Linked DNA regions of Nothobranchius furzeri. The protein of the gene in region 2 binds, or shares a complex with, the protein of the main gene of each other region. Links are inferred from orthologs where the notes say so. Each region holds a gene or a part of one and is shown on either strand. Other genes may lie near its edges. The genes, in order: dkc1 and nhp2.

The links.
Region 1: nhp2 (region 2) and dkc1 share a complex: the UniProt entries of both Homo sapiens proteins name them as parts of the H/ACA small nucleolar ribonucleoprotein (H/ACA snoRNP) complex. The link is inferred for Nothobranchius furzeri from reciprocal best matches to the Homo sapiens genes NHP2 and DKC1.

The regions. Positions count from the first base shown.
Region 1 is NC_091758.1:16,257,728-16,260,774, reverse strand, and holds the end of dkc1 (H/ACA ribonucleoprotein complex subunit DKC1), read left to right. Parts: coding exon 1-104; intron 105-339; coding exon 340-483; intron 484-586; coding exon 587-707; intron 708-742; exon of another isoform or gene 743-819; intron 820-887; coding exon 888-1,006; intron 1,007-1,136; coding exon 1,137-1,240; coding exon of another isoform or gene 1,241-1,244; intron 1,245-1,466; coding exon 1,467-1,506; intron 1,507-1,580; coding exon 1,581-1,736; intron 1,737-1,819; coding exon 1,820-1,879; 3' UTR 1,880-2,290; downstream 2,291-3,047.
Region 2 is NC_091750.1:25,734,364-25,738,748, reverse strand, and holds the start of nhp2 (H/ACA ribonucleoprotein complex subunit 2-like protein), read right to left. Parts: upstream 2,832-4,385; 5' UTR 2,719-2,831; coding exon 2,556-2,718; intron 2,486-2,555; coding exon 2,416-2,485; intron 2,216-2,415; exon of another isoform or gene 2,182-2,215; coding exon 2,076-2,181; intron 1-2,075. UniProt on the Homo sapiens protein: Required for ribosome biogenesis and telomere maintenance. Part of the H/ACA small nucleolar ribonucleoprotein (H/ACA snoRNP) complex, which catalyzes pseudouridylation of rRNA.

The DNA.
Region 1 (3,047 bases), on a different chromosome or scaffold from region 2:
GAACTTACATCAGGACTTTGTGTGTCCACCTGGGACTTTTACTTGGAGTTGGAGGACAGATGCAGGAATTGAGGAGGGTCCGGTCTGGAGTTCTGGGCGAGAAGGTCAGTGTGTGTCCACGTGCATCTTGCTGTTGTGATGGTTTATTGTATCACAGCTGGTTAAGTGATCGCAGTAGGAACCACGTTCAGTTCTCTAGTCCAAAGTGTTGAGTCCAGCTCTGCTGCTTAGTGCCGAGCTGTTAATTAGACTTTGGAAGAGTAAGCGCAGCGGAGCAACGATGGGCGTGCATGTCCGCCTGTTGAGACTCGGTGCTGCTAACATAACATCTGCTTTCAGGACAACTTGGTGACGATGCACGATGTTCTCGATGCTCAGTGGCAATTTGATCACAATAAAGATGAGACTTATCTGAGGAGAGTCATCTTCCCTCTAGAAAAGCTGCTGGTGTCATACAAACGGCTGATGATGAAGGACAGCGCGGTGAGTCTTCCTCTAGTCGGGGACAGCGTGTGACCGTCTGTGAACGGAGAACAATGCAGTGTGGGTTAAATCTGTCGGAGTGAACTCATGAGTGCCTCTACAGGTGAACGCCATCTGTTACGGTGCCAAGATCATGCTTCCTGGTGTCCTCCGGTACGAAGACGGCATAGAGGTTAACCAGGACATCGTTGTCATAACAACCAAAGGCGAGGCCATCTGTACAGGTGAGTCTGTTGTGGCGTGCTGATTTTGGTGTGAAGCCACATGATGAGTTGAGTAGATGCAGCAGCTTTCGGGCAGTGATGACCTGCTATCTATCACCCTTTTCTGATGGCCTCCAGAAGACCTCACTAAACTCTAGAAGGGGTTAAAATCACATTAACCACATCCTCCTCCTCCTCTAGCGGTAGCACTGATGACCACAGCAGTGATCTCCACCTGTGATCACGGCGTCGTGGCGAAGATCAAGAGGGTGATCATGGAGAGAGACACGTATCCACGGAAATGGGGTCTGGGTCCAAAGGTGGGTGTCGTGTTATGATAGTAAATGTACAAATCTGATTTTTTTTTTAATCTGCCAATAAACAAAAATAATTCCAATAACTTTGTAAATAAAATTTGAGTAGAAGAAACTGTTATTTATTTTTAATCAGGCATGTAAGAAGAAGATGATGATCAAACAAGGACTCCTAGACAAACACGGAAAGCCAAACGCCCAAACTCCTCAGGACTGGAAAGACGACTACGCAGACTACAGGTAGTGCTGCTGTGGGCGGGGCTTCGGCTGCAGACGGTTATCCCTTTTTGAGCTGGTGTGCCCTCTGAGGGAGTAAGTCTGCTAGAGAAACTCTCGTGTTGGAGCGCCTGTACTCAGCATGTACTGTCTGCTGACGGCGCCGCTCAACAGAGTACAGAGTCGTCATGAGCTGCGACGATGTCAATACATCAAACAGTGACTGACATTTTGTTTTATTTTTTGACAGTGTTACTGTTAAGGAAGAACCAAAAGACACCCCTGCTAAGGTAATACTGTCACATAGTGCTACCCCACTGGTGGTGATGGTGAAAACTGACCTACAGTGACCTCTGACTTGTAGAGAAAACGGGAGGCTACAGAGTGTGACAGTGAAACCCCGGAGACTCCTTCTGCAGAGGTAAAGAAAGAAAAGAAGAAAAAGAAAAAAGCAGAAATGGAGGAGGAGCCAGAAGTGAAGGAGGAGGAGCCAGAAGTGGCGGAGGAACCTGACACACAGGTGATTGAGCGTTTCCTGCATTCTCGTTCAACTTTTAGGTTCCTGGTGAATAATAAACTTAAGTGATGGCTTTTCTTCTGCAGGTTGAAAGAAAATCAAAAAAGAAAAAGAAAAAACTAAAGGAAGCCGATGCGTCGGAGTAAATCACTCGCTCCAAACACTTGTAACCATTTCCATCCTCTAAAGTTGACCTCAGCGAATCCCAGTGAAGAGCATCTTTGGCTAAATGGAACGTCCCCATCACTGCAAATCATCTGATCGATAAAAGCTGCAGCAGTAGAATGTGTTTGGGAAACCATGATAATGCAACTTTAAAAAAAAAATACCTTCTGAAGCAGCGTTGCCTCGTTTTAAAATGGCTTCTGATTCTGTAAGTGCTGCTAGACAGCAGGAGAAATGGGGTCGAAAGTAATAAGTTTGTAGATTTGGTTTTCAGCCTTCTGGTGTTTGGCATGGAGGCAGAAAGCATGCTCACTTGTAAATATCTAACTTTTTTATTTCAAAATAAATGTATTCTGTGTATAAAACGGGGATTAAAGTTCTCTCATTTCTAAGGTTTGGATGTCTGTGAACATTACAGAATATTCAGATTGGTGTAAAGAACATATTAACAGGTCATGATCTAAAGCTGTTCAAAGGTATAAAACTGCCCTGGGCCTAAAGCCCTGCAGATATATTTAGTTTCTATAAATACCAACAAATAAAAGCAGCTGGATTCTACTTTGTTCCTTAAATTGAGTCACGTTCCTGTAGCTCACACGTTCAACAGGGAGCTCTGCCAGCTGATTGGTTCTTTAACAGGGAGCTCTGCCAGCTGATTGGTTCTTTAACAGGGAGCTCTGCCAGCTGATTGGTTCTTTTGGTAACTACTGTAGTTCTGGTACTTACCTGCTGATGCATCCATCCTGCTATCGCTGTAGTCTGTTCACAATGGTTTAAACGTTAACACATGAACATGTTTAGATTATCATACATAGCTACGAGTCTGTTACTCTACTTCCCCCCCCCCAAAATGCACCAAATTGATGCGTTAAAATATAAAATGTCCAGTAATTTTTTTCGTGGGGGGCATGACACCCCTGGAGTAATATTTATCTTTTTTACCTCAGAGAAATCTCAACACCCAACACTGTGTATGTGACTGGTTATCAAAACCCGAATAGTGGCTGCGTGTAAACAATGTGAGTGAGCCCCCCCCCCAAATTTTCAGTCATGAGAATTCTTTGCTTCAATCTCTGGTATAAAATCCAATGGCATTTTTTCCTGCAATCGATGTCAGGTTTTTAGTCTGGAAACAAAACAAAACATGAT
Region 2 (4,385 bases):
GCTGCTTCGTGTCTATCGCAGATGTAGAACATCACCGGGAGCGTTTCTCCCTTCATTAAGGAGCTTCTTTCAGACATGAGGAGAGCTGTTTTGGTGGTAACGGTCTCTCCTCCATGCTGGTCTGTTTGCTGCTGGGTGTTTTTGGTTTATTTAAACTTGGTAACTTGAACTTAACGTTGGTAAAGCTACTGTTAGCATCTTCGCTAACAGCTTCTTGCGTTGGGATAAGCTGTTACGTTTTGGTTTAGAGTTCATCTTTTTTTGTGGTGCAGATCTCCCTTTTATTACATTTAGAGTGTTGTGGGTTTTCGGTTTAGTGTAAAATATCACCTGAGTTTGGTTTAACCCGTAAGACCACTCGCCTCACGCACATAAGTGACCAAAACAAAGCAGCATGGAGACACTCCATCTTCTACCACCTCTCAGGCAGCAGCCTGCACTCCCAAGTTCTACACGTCACCAGAACATAACCAACCAACACAATAAAAGCATGGAAGGCCTGTAGTGTTTATTCTCTTACAGTAAGAATTTATCAATTTTTTTGAGGAATTTATTTGAGATTTTCTGGTTTTTGTTAATTGTGCAATAGAAAAATAATCATTAGATTAATTTTCTAAATAGTCATTAGAATAGTCGACTATTCGATAAAATAATCATCAGAATAATCGTTTTAAAAATAATCGTTTACCCCCAGCCCTACTAAACCGGTTGTTTTCTACGCTTTACTAAGCACAGAGCAAGTGCTGTCACTATGAGTTGTTGACTCAGACTTTTCTTTCATTTATATGCTTTAAAAGCCAGTAGTTTAATTTTGTGATTTAATTGAAAGTTTTGTTTGTTCTTATTTGCATAAAAGACATTGTAATTATCGTTACTGTGTTCTTTATGTGACCGTGATTTCAGTCAAACTACAGCTGGTTATGTTTTCTTGGCTTTATTTTAAGCGAAAACAAGTACTGTAACTGAGTTTGTGACTCGGAGTTCTGTTAAAACCAGAGTTGGCTATGTTTTGCAGTTTCTATTATTTTCACTAAAAACCAGCAGTTAATCCTAATGTCATTTGACTTGTTTCAATAAAACTGTTGAAAATGCAGCGGCACTTTGTTTTAATAGGTAAATATGAGATACGGGGAAATGTACGGCCCGCTGGCAAAAGCCTCATGATAATTTGGCCCAACAAAAAATCTAACCGAGTAGCCCTGCGTTAAAAGCTGTACTCTGGCCCCATGCATGCGCGGGTTTCCTCCGGGTACTCCGGTTTCCCCCACAGATCACAACACGCCCTATAGGTTATAAATTGTAAGTCGCTTTGGATAAAAGCGTCTGCCAAATAAATAAACATAAACATACTTGTGACAAACGGGCAACTTTAAGGTCACGTGACCACCACTACTGCTCAGCAAAAACTACGTCCTCGAGACTGTAAACACCCAGACCCTGGAGCAGAACATGATAACAACATATAAATGATGAAAACTCAGCAACAGAGCTGAGGCGGACTTTCGGCATTGCCATGGAAACCTGTAAACACTCCAGCTATCCAGCTTTGATCAAACAGCTGGTGGCATGTTTTAGTTCTGATGTCTTTGTAGTCCTCGTAAATCTTCCTCTATCCAGATGAAGGACGAGGCTCTGTACCTTCTTCCATTCTCATTTATCTAGTATCGATTAACAGGGTCTGCCTGTGGGCCTTGCTTTAAATAGAGATGATTCCACTCGAGCATCGTTGGTGGTACGGAAGCATGGATTCATTATAGCGCTGACGTTCTGAGCTCACTACGTGGAACCCCCTCCCCCCGGTGTAGATGGACCAGATATGCACACGGCCCTGATTTAGATCAAAACCGTTGGATCATATATACACATATATCATATATAATAATAGTACTAGTAATAGTAGTAATAATAATAGTAATAATAACGTTTAACACAATCAGAATCTAAAAACCACGACACCAGCCCTTTACCTCATAGAATGTGTGTTTTACTTGAAGTCAAGGGTTAAAACTGACGTGTGAGAAATCTGAAATCCTGACAACACCTGCTGACCTTTGACCCCAGCTCCACTCACTCACCGTTTTAGAGGGCACGTAGGCGTACGGCAGGCTCCTGTCCTCACACATGATGGGCAGGTGACAGTACACGTCGATGGGCAGCGTGTCGCCCGCCAGGACCACGATGCTGCAGAGACCAGACCGGGTTCAGGTGAGCACAGGTGAGGTTCTAACGCGCGGATGACTACGGTGTCCTGAATGGTTCAATGCGCTAAAACTGAATAATGTTCACATTTAAATACATAAAAAAAAAATTAGTGCGGAACTTCTTCTGAGGGACAGAAAACAGTGACGGACCGGACCACTACAGTAATGGGGACTGAGGTTCTGGACGGACCCGGGCACCGTGAAGCTAACTCACCCTTTCTCTCCTTTCTTGATGAACTTCTGAACTTCTTTCACGCCCCTCCGGATGTTCTTCACCTTAGCAGCTGAAATCAAAACACCGGGTAAAGAAGCGGGACACAAGCACCGGTCTAACGGGTCTCGGTGGTCTTTTACCCTTTTTCACGCACTTGTAGAGCTTCTTGCTGAGCTTCCTGGAGGCCAGCGGCTGAGAGATCGGGTTCAGGTGGGAGACCAGCTCCTGGTAGGTCCTCTCGGAACCACCGGCCGATGCGACCGAATCATTTGGATCCGCGTTTTCCTTCTTCGTCTTCGTCATCTCTGATAATCAATAACCGATTGTTGCTTTCTGCTTTCACCCAGCACGCACGTGTTTTAACTCTTGTCCCGGACTAACAGGACCATTGGACCACAGCGCCCCCGGCGGCCAGGAGCGGAAATGTCGGCAAAGTCTACAGAGGGCCTGTAGACGCGCGCGCGCGTGTGTGTGCGTGTGCGTGTGTGTGTGTGTGTGTGTGTGTGTGTAGAAGAAGAAAGTATCATTTCTATAGCGCCTCTCAGGATGAAAATCACGAGGCGCTTCACAAAAAAAAGTGTAAAACATAAAAAAATAATTTAGAAAATGGTTAAAATATGTTTAAAATGAGCAAAAAATAGACAATTGTGATTAAAAAAATGTAAAGAAAGAGAGAGAGAGTGAATAGATAGGGAAAGATCCTGAGGAAGGTGGAATAGGTGGGGAGAGCAGAATAAAGAGAGTGGTGAAGAAGGTCACACAAAAGCCAGCCTGAACAAGGGCAACACCTCTGAAGATAAGAGTCAAGAGGTGCTTCACAAGAACAAAACTAAAACATGATTAAAAACACATAATAAATTGTGAAAATGGAAAATTTAACATAAAAATGAGAGGGAAGAAAGAAAACGAGTAAGAAGAGGTAGCAGCACCTGAACAGGTGAGCGTTCAGCTGCATTTTAAAGGAGACCACTGGATGTAAAACAGCTGGTGGTCTGTTTTAGTTCTGACATCTTTGTAGTCCTCAGAGACACAAATGTATGATTATTGCTCCGTCTGGGAGAAGAACGATGCTCTGTCCTCTTCTTCCATACTCATTTATCTGCAGTGATGTGACATTCACGAGCAAATCAAATCTTTTGGTTTTCAAAGTGAACAATGAGAGCCGAGTCTCTGTAGAGAGCCGTTCATCTTGTCTTCCAGTACCAAGCCTCCCCGGAGGTCGGCAAAGCGCACCCGCTCAACCCCCACCCAGCCCGTGACGGACGTGGACAGAACGCTACCCATCCCAACCACCGTGCGCCCTCACATAAAAACCTTTTCTTTGATCTCACTTCTGATTTAGTGGAATGTGTGTGAGAAAAATGTTACGAAGCATTTTAAAGATGCAACAAATTCCACACAGCAATAATTATTATCTGTAAAATGTTGCTAGTTAACTCATTAAAGAGCAAGTCACCCCCTACCAGAGGCTTACTCCACTCCCACTTCCTGTTTGAAAAGTGCAACAAATGCTGTTGCCTGGCAGAGTGAGAGGGTGGAGCCACTAACAAACACACAAACACACAGGCTCACAACAGCATTGTGACATCATATAGTACCAGCTTATGTCATAGTGTACCTCAGTGTGTCCCAACCCTGGTCCTCAGGGACAACTGTCCTGGATGTTGTCCATGTCTCTGCTTCAGCACACCTGATTTACATCGGCTCTTCAGAAGGACATCAAGTGCTGCAGATGCCCGTTAATCACTGCTTCATTTAAAGGCCCCTTGTGTGAAATTCACAGAAATCATAGTAAAAAGATCCGACTCTTTAGCACCACGCAGTTTAGAGTCGGTATTGCAGCTATTGGAGCCCCCGAGGATCAAAAAGGTTTTTTTAATCATTATTTAAAACTTTATTAACAAATATAACAAATACAATACAAAATCGTGTTGCTGTAAACGGCAGCATGTCATCATCTAATTCCAGCT